3 linked regions of the Saccharomyces cerevisiae S288C genome follow. The protein of the gene in region 3 interacts with the protein of the main gene of each other region in a pairwise test. Each region holds a gene or a part of one and is shown on either strand. Other genes may lie near its edges. The genes, in order: YBR053C, BOL1 and GRX3.

Evidence for each region.
Region 1: the proteins of GRX3 (region 3) and YBR053C interact in a protein complementation assay, tested with the Saccharomyces cerevisiae proteins (one large-scale study listed by BioGRID).
Region 2: the proteins of GRX3 (region 3) and BOL1 interact in a two-hybrid assay, tested with the Saccharomyces cerevisiae proteins (one large-scale study listed by BioGRID).

The regions. Positions count from the first base shown.
Region 1 is NC_001134.8:339,060-342,487, forward strand, and holds YBR053C (regucalcin), read right to left. Parts: upstream 1,693-3,428; coding exon 616-1,692; downstream 1-615. Other genes in the region: RFS1 (flavodoxin-like fold family protein), read right to left, coding at 1-293.
Region 2 is NC_001133.9:55,813-58,350, reverse strand, and holds BOL1 (Bol1p), read right to left. Parts: upstream 834-2,538; coding exon 501-833; downstream 1-500. Other genes in the region: GCV3 (glycine decarboxylase subunit H), read left to right, coding at 1-401; BOL3 (Bol3p), read left to right, coding at 966-1,322; gamma-tubulin complex subunit SPC72, read left to right, coding at 1,494-2,538.
Region 3 is NC_001136.10:643,678-646,795, forward strand, and holds GRX3 (monothiol glutaredoxin GRX3), read right to left. Parts: upstream 1,254-3,118; coding exon 501-1,253; downstream 1-500. Other genes in the region: mismatch repair ATPase MSH6, read right to left, coding at 1-160.

The sequences.
Region 1 (3,428 bases), on a different chromosome or scaffold from region 3:
CTTTTCCACTCCGCGGGGAAGTTTCCAAACTTAGTAGGTATTCCGAATAAGTAGTAATCGTACTCAACCAACGTTTCTCTTGTTAGGATTTTATAGGAAAAATCTGCATTAGTTTTGGCGACTTTGGCTGCCTCTTTTCCCTCTTCTGTCGCATATTCAGTTTTATAGCTGACGTCTGGCACTTGGAAAATCTCAGCCTCACCACCAGCTATCTCTATACCTTTTTTTTCATTTTCTGCTAATGTGGCAATTATATCGTCCACTGAATAAATCAAAATAGCGACTTTCGGCATTATCTATGTGGCGTAGTATGTGCTTATAATAGTGAGTAGTATGCTGGAGGTCTTGATGTTCGATGTTTCTCGAGAAAAGTGTGATATAAAATGTGGTTTCTTTTTATTTCTTTTCTTTTCCGCTCTTTTATGTATTTTTGATTGTCCGCCCCTTAGGTGTTCCCTCCTTATAACTAGGCAACCAAAATGGAACGGCTATTATTCGATGTATAAGGACAAGTTTGGGAGCTTCGCTTCAATTTGCCCATAAGCGGTGTCATATGACGCTAGTTACATGCGCTGGATACGTATGCTGCATATATATAAACATATGTATATACACCTAGTGGAGAGGTTGTCGCTTTGTAGATTCCAGAGGAACATTTCCGTCTAGCACGTTTGGAATTTTGTAGATGCAGCCACCATTCTTGTCAGTATTGGTTCTTACAGCATCGTTGATTTCTGCATTGGCAGTGGTCACGAAGAGATCTTTACCAACAAAACAACAACATGAAACTCTTGGTGTCTGCTCCGGCAAAATGAACTCCTTCAGCAATTTTCCGTTAGTTAAATCGAACATTTGAACCTTACTGGTGGACCAGACAGTGATAAACAGAAACCCAGAATGTTTTCCGTCTTTGCTAAACCAAATTGCACTTCCATCTGGTTCAGGAGACTCAAAAGATTGATTGTTGGAGTTCTTCACGTCAATTAACTCGTCACGTTTTAGCAAGTCGCCACCAGGACATTTCCAAATAGTGAAGTTTAAAGAATCAGTCACGTACATCGTCTTTTGATCACTTTCATCCCAGTGGATCGCGTTAGGAATTAACAAGCAATTCCAAACAAGCTCTATCTTGTGAGCTAATAGGTCAACACGAAGCAAACACCCAATAGGTTCCAAATCAAATGGAAAATCGCTCATTAGCCCCACATAAATATATTTTCCATCTGGCGAAACGTTCCCATCATTAGATCTCAACTTATATGCTCTGTCTGTACTCAATTCAGGACATTCGGAATACAAAATGACATATTCCCATTCACTTTTGCTAAAATCCAATTTTCCTATGCCAAATTTACTACCAAATAATACTTGTTTGATTTCATTTTGTGAAGCCCCATCAAGTATTGGAAATATACAGCCCACGGATTCTTTTAATTCATCTGGATTGGGAGGGTACTCAATTGACGCATTCTTGCCATAATTGGCTCTACTAATGGAAAAAAAAGAATGACTGGATTCAGGCTGTTCTATGTCTTCGACTTTATGAACCTCTCCTTTAAAAATATCAACCCACAACAGTGTACCGGTTTCCTTAACGAAGGTTATTCCTTCACTATGTATGGCACCGGGAACGTGATAATAAGGTTTTAAATCATGCAAAATAATTTCTTCAAAATCGCCAACACTACTCATTTTACGAAAAGTGTCTAGTTGCTCAATGCATATAAACTTAATCTAAGAATCTTACAGGACATCTTCATATATGTCCATATGCTTTGAATAAGCATTGGCTTCCCCTTAAAGCCCGACCGGGTAAACTTTCACCTAGCTGTTCTTGGCGACCATTAAATAATTTTGAATGCATTTCTAGGAACAAAATCAAGTGCAAGCTACAGCTTTACAATTATAGAATCTGTTGACCAAGTAAAATGGATGAGAAAATTTACGTACGATTTTGTTCCTTATCCATTCAGCTTCTCAGTTAGTCAAGAGGTAGCTGTAGCGGCTTAACGAAAAAGGTATTAAAAAGGGACATACTTTTTTTATATCTTTTCCTTTGGCGTTCACAGTTACTCTTTTAGAACTCCTTGTTGTTGTGTAATGCATTTACCCATTCCCGATATAACTACCACTTTGGAGAACTGTAGACAAAGACCGCTCTTACTGAGTATACATTTTACTTTCGTAGACCGACTTTTAACTCTATTAGGAAAAGCAATTGACTTTTGAACTTCGATGACGATTGTGCAAAATACAAATCGTTTCAAGCGGTGTTCGGAATAGCTCACAGAAATGGCGAAGATATGTTGAAAAATACATACCGATGTCATTTGTGAAAAACAAAAACACAAGCTACAATTTGTATATTTACTCAATTACATATACCAATTGAGTAATAATTAAACAAGAAGGCAAAAATAAACTAAAGCAAAATAGTATACCATCTTTGGTTCCTGGACCACATTTTCTCTCAATATTTTTGAGATGTTTTTCTTTACTTTGTTTTAAGTAGTCTTTCCATCTCCCTTCAACGGAAACAAGTGCACGCAACATGTTATTTTCCTGTTATCCGCCCTGAGCAGTTTTCTTCCCCGGGTGGCAACCATTCTCCAACATTAGACAAACTTTACAAAGAAGACACCCTACCCGGTTGCCTCCAAAGCCCTTCTTTCTTAACGCGAGTACCGCTTTGGGAGGCCTCATCTTGGTTGTGTCCTCGTATGGCAGCATCTGCCATTGAGCGAACCCTTTCCCGTTTTACGCGCATGGCCTAGACCGATCTTTAGCAGACATGCCGAGTGAATTTACCTAAGATTTCTAAGGACTCTTCTGCATGTTTCCGAAAATCACCGGAAAAACCTTCGGTTTTTTTAGACGAAAACTAGGAAGTTGCTTAGCTTTCCTTGTCGTCTTCAAATCTATATGCCATCGGAAGAGAATCAGAAGAGAAGATCACGACTTAAGAGCTTTGCTGTTAAGATAGCAAGAAAGCTTGCCAATAGGCAGTTATGTAACCTAGTTTATCTACACCTTCTTTGATTAACTTAGCTATGTAGGCCGGTGTGTTTGTTCATATCACGGCATACGTTAACACAATGTAAATCTTGCTTTGGGTTGACTGAGGGAAATAACTATAGACATCACACCAATGGCTAAGGGATATTTCGACCTCGCTATGGGTTCTAAATGAGGGAATGGAAAAAAAGGGTAAATTGAAAACAACCTACCGATTTTGGTACCACTTCCGTGATTTTCGATTCTTCAATTTCCGCATAATTTGCCTCAAATAGGAAATCTGAGCTGTTTTTTTCTTACCCTCGAGTGGTCGTTCTGCGGACTTTTCTCCGGTCCAATGCATGAATCCCTTTAAGAAGCATGAAGAAAAAAAAAAATAGCCTCTTGTAAAAGCAAAAATGCCTTTCACTATT
Region 2 (2,538 bases), on a different chromosome or scaffold from region 3:
CATCCCAAGGACCTCAAGCCGTGAGGTACACTTCCCAACATGAGTGGATAGCTGTGCATCAGGACAAGACTGCCTTTGTCGGAATTACAAAATACGCCACTGATGCCTTAGGGGACGCTACCTATGTTGAGTTGCCAGAAGTGGGCACTGAGATTGCCCAAGGTGAGTCGCTAGGGTCCATTGAGTCCGTCAAGTCAGCCTCCGAGATCTACCAGCCTGCCGATGGTACCGTAGAGGAAATTAACACTAATCTTGAGGAAAATCCAGGTGTGGTGAACGAAGATCCTATGGGTGACGGCTGGCTAGTCAAAATGAAGCTTGGTGAGGGCGTTAATGTGGAACAGGTCGAGGGTCTAATGTCCTTAGAACAGTACGAAAAGACACTGGTTCATGATGACTGAACAAAGCTTATACGTACGTAAAGTAATTTCATATATATGTATATATATGTAGGGGAAATAAAACAATAAACTCAACGTGTACACTTATGCTTATGCATTCTATTTCGCTTTGGATTCATACTCCTGTGGGGTCTTTAGTGACAATTGTAAAGCATGGATACCGTTCGCCTGAGCCATCTCGTCTTGCAAGAGGGAATAAACCATACGATGGCGTTGTGGAAGTTTCAGGCCTTCGAACTTTTTACTGACCATCTCAATCCGGAAATGTGTCTCAGCAGAGACATTTCCCTGTACACCAGCATGGCCCTTATGCTTGTGAGAATCGTTGTAGAGGCCAAACGCAAAGTTCTTGTAATCTGGAAAGCCGCATTCCAGTCTCTTCAGGATGGTACGTGCCACGGGACCATCTGTGCTCATTGCTCTCTTGAACATTATTCTCTTTCCACTTTCGTTTGCTGCTAACGATGCTATTCTCTTTTTGATTCGTCATTCCGGAACATATATAAGTTTCTTTATTTGGTCACTGAGAACCATAAAAGCGAAAAGAGAAGGTAAAACATAGAAATGAAGCTCCCACAGACCATGCTACGTTCTATATCTGTGAAGCATGTCCGGTGGCCAAGGATTCTGACGGGCTCAAAGCTTTGGTACTCAACGCAGATGGCAATGACTCCGGAGGAGAAGATGATCACCGATAAACTACAACAGGAACTGGAACCTGAAGTGTGTAAAGTGCAAGACGTTTCCGGTGGCTGCGGATCCATGTTTGCTATCAACATAACAAGCAAGAAGTTCAACGGACTGAGTCTCATCAAGCAGCACCAGCTGGTGAACAGAATTTTGAGGGACGATATTTCCAGATGGCATGGCCTACAATTGACCACTAAGAAGTCAACTGGGAAGGGTCCGGCATCATCATGAACAGTTTGGAACCAAAAAAGCTCGTGTAAGTATCACTTTTAGTTTACTTTTGCTTCCCTCTGTGTATATTCTTTATATATGTATTTATTATTTTAATTGAAATCGCGAAATTTCACATAAGCAACACTAATATCAAAAAACTAAGCAAACAACATAAGGAAAGTTATAGCCATGGTACGTCGATGGATTCCTAGTGGCAGGCATCTTCGCAATAATGACAACACTGGTGATGATGACGACAGCGAGTTCACAAACTCGATGGATTCTGGGATGTCCATACCATCACTCAGGGACTCCATGACCACGAGGTCATCTCATAACGATCCCATCAAGCCTGCTCTGATGAACGATTCCAACAAAGTCAAAAATTTGGAGAAGGAGTTGACTAATGCCAAAATCAAGATTCAAGTACTCTATGAATACATTCGCAGAATCCCTAATAAAGACGGCAATGCACCATCGCTGGGCAATGACACTGATTTTAGAAATTCGATTATCGAGGGTCTAAATCTTGAAATAAACAAATTGAAACAGGATTTAAAGGCGAAGGAAGTCGAGTACCAAGATACGCTACAATTCGTTCAAGAGAATTTAGAAAATTCGGAAAGTATCGTGAATACGATCAATCACCTATTGTCCTTTATATTGACGCATTTTAATGAGCAAGATGAAAATGCCCATCTTCTTGATAAAGAAGAGAGGGAGACCCTGGAGGAAACTTTAGAGCTGAGCTCGGATTATGTTCTTGAAAAAATGGATACTTTGTCCAAGTTCATCATCCAATTCTTGCAGGACTTTTTGCATTCCAAAAGTCGAGCGGAATCAAAGCAGGATAAGGAAGAATTTCTTTCACTGGCCCAGTCCTCACCAGCAGGATCACAGTTAGAAAGTAGGGACTCACCATCAAGTAAAGAGGAGAATACTGATGGTGGATACCAGAATGACGAAATTCATGACAGTAACAACCACATTGATACAGAAAATGTAATGGCAAACAGTACTTCCTTACCAATTTCAGCCGTCGAGTCTCGTTTTGAGAAAACCTTAGACACTCAATTAGAGATTGTCATAGAAAATTTGCACAAAGAATATGATCAATTTATAAATTCCATTAGATTGAAATTCGAGAAATCGCAAAAATTAGAAAAAATAATAGCGTCCAAACTAAATGAGCAGTCTCATCTACTAGATTCCTTAGAATTGGAAGAAAATTCTA
Region 3 (3,118 bases):
TCGCTGGAGTAGGCTTCTGGACCTTCTTTGACGGTGTGCCAGAAGGTACCTGTTTTGAGAAAAAAGATAACAAACTCGATTGCTTCATTTTCTTTTGAGAAGATGTGGAGCCATTTTCGAAGTGTGCAGTCTTAGAAGTTTTAGGGGTAGCTGGGGCCATTTTGGAGTTCAAATTGGCTTTGTCAAAATTAACTAGTTGCTCCAATTAAAAAATCTTATCTGTTAGCAAAGAAGGCTCCAAGGAAAAGCTCTTATTAGTTTCAACAGATGTAATTTCAAATATTTTCTCTATATGGCGATGACCTATACATGAATTTATGAAAAAGTGAGACGCGTATCAGCTACTGCTCACGCGTTTATTTTCTCCGGGCAATGGTTGTTCAAAAAGCCAAACTTAACCAGAAGCCATTCATTATGTCACACATATAAAAATGCTTGCATACCATTAGTTGGAAATGGAGACTTTTCTGTTTCAATTTACACTAAATACATCTATTTATTTAAGATTGGAGAGCATGCTGCAAAAAATCAGGGTCTTCCTCCAAGGATTCCTTGATAATGTCTAAACCGCCTTGAAACTCCCCATTTATATAAAGTTGAGGGAAAGTTGGCCATTCAGAAAACTTTTTCAAGTTTTGTCTAACAGATTCGTCTCTTAATATATCAAAGAAGCCAAATCTTACTTGATGTTCTCTCAAGATACCCACAAGTTGTCTCGAAAACCCGCATTTAGGTTCAGAGGGGCTCCCCTTCATAAATAACATTACCGGCGCGGCATTGACCAATTTAGTCAATCTAGCGTTTATTTGCTCCTCAGTTTCTTCTTCCTCTTCTTCGTCGTCATCGTCTTCATCATTATGACTCCCCTCATTTACGTTTGCATTTTCCATAGTATGAGTTTGTGATGATCCGGAATTGACTGAGTTCTTGCAGTCTTCTAATAAAGACACATACTCCTTTGGATCCGCGCCGGATAATTCTTTTAAGATTGTCCCTTTGTGAATTATGATAAAATATGGAACAGCTGAGATTTCAAAAAGTTCTGAAATTTCCGAGTTTTCGTCCGCATCAATGGATAAGAAAGAGACGTTGGAATTGGAAGGCTCATTACTAATGGCCTCAAAAACCTGCTTTAATGCTTTGCATGGTTCTGCCCAACTGGTATGGAAATAAAGCACGATTAACTTGTCGCCGGCCGCAGTGGTAGTTAGGTAAGTAAATTGCTCTTGATCGTTAATTTCAATAACAGGCATTTCCTGAAAAAGTTTTGCTGCTGTGTAATATCTTGCTTGGTGGCGTTTATAACAGTACGAGGTGTAGTTAAAAGAAAATGCAGATGGAACCTGAAAAGAACACATTTAGTCTTTGAAATATATTTTAATGACCTCTTAGTTTGGCATCTCATGACCCGGCACACATTCTCTGAAAAAAAAAAAAAGTAACTGATGGTTCAACAGAGAAGCCACAGTTAAAAAAGGTCCTACCCGGATTCGAACCGGGGTTGTCCGGATCAAAACCGAAAGTGATAACCACTACACTATAGGACCGTAACAACTGTGTATTGTTGTATTACGGGCTCGAGTAATACCGCAGTGTCTTGACAATCCTAATATAAACAGTCTTAGGGAAGTAACCAGTTGTCAAAACAGTTTATCAGATTAATTCACGGAATGTCACTTATCTTATATATTATATAAAATATGAATCATACTAAGTGGTGGAAGCGCGGAATCTCGGATCTAAACTAATTGTTCAAGCATTTATACGTTTGGGTAGTTCAGCTAGGGAAGGCCGTGTTTTATCTCATGTTGTTCGTTTTGTTATTGAGATATATGTGGGTAATTAGATAATTGTTGGGATTCCATTGTTGATAAAGGCTATAATATTAGGTATACAGAATATACTAGAAGTTCTCCTCGAGGATTTAGGAATCCATAAAAGGGAATCTGCAATTCTACACAATTCTATAAATATTATTATCATCGTTTTATATGTTAATATTCATTGATCCTATTACATTATCAATCCTTGCGTTTCAGCTTCCACTAATTTAGATGACTATTTCTCATCATTTGCGTCATCTTCTAACACCGTATATGATAATATACTAGTAACGTAAATACTAGTTAGTAGATGATAGTTGATTTTTATTCCAACATACCACCCATAATGTAATAGATCTAATGAATCCATTTGTTTGTTAATAGTTTAAATGTTTTTATCGGAAGAGGTTTTGTCATCACATCAGCAATGTTCTTCTTGGTCTCGATGTAGTATACGTATAAATTATTACCTGATACTTCATCTCTAAGTCTCATTGCCTTTGTGCCAAAAAATCTGTTTCTAAATTTCTCTTCATTTGTAGACTTAATTATACTGATCGTTGATCTACTATCAGTAAGTGAGCCTTTAATAATTGGTTTCTTGTTAAGTTCTTGCACAAGGTGACTGAGGTTATTCAATAGCGGAATAGCTTCACTGACTGCGTGTATTTCTGCTTCTGTAGTTGAAGTGCATGTTAACGAAGCCTTTGTCGACTTTCCTCCAATCACTTTTCCGTTGAGTAGGAAAATGTTACCAATTTGTGACTTGTAATATGGTTGGTTACCATATGAAGCATCGCTTATTGCGACTAGTTTATTATCTGGCTTGGTAGGTTTGTTTTTGTGCCATATTAATTGTTTATCTCTAGTGTCCCACATGAATTGTATTAACTCATATGTCATGTCTAAAACTTGCCTAGAGGGGAATAGTATATGTTGAGCAAGTGTGTTGATGTAGTATAGTAAGTCAAATCTAAATTTATATCCAACATATGAAGCTAGACCAATCAACTTTTGCATTTCATGCACTTTCTCTTTGTATTCATCTTCATCTATTTCTAGTTCATCCTGGTCTATATAATGACCTGGTTGACCTGGAGCTCTAAGTTTCTTTCCTTTTGGGTTCAAAGGTACGTTTAGTTTGGGTAATTTTTCTGTCAAGGATTTTTCCATACCTAATTTCATGTACTTGCTTCTTTGATATTTGATCTCTAATCCAAGTATGTCGTACTGAATTTCGTTATCACCTTCACCCAGATTTATTATCTTTGTATCGTATTGTTTCTTGAGTGTTG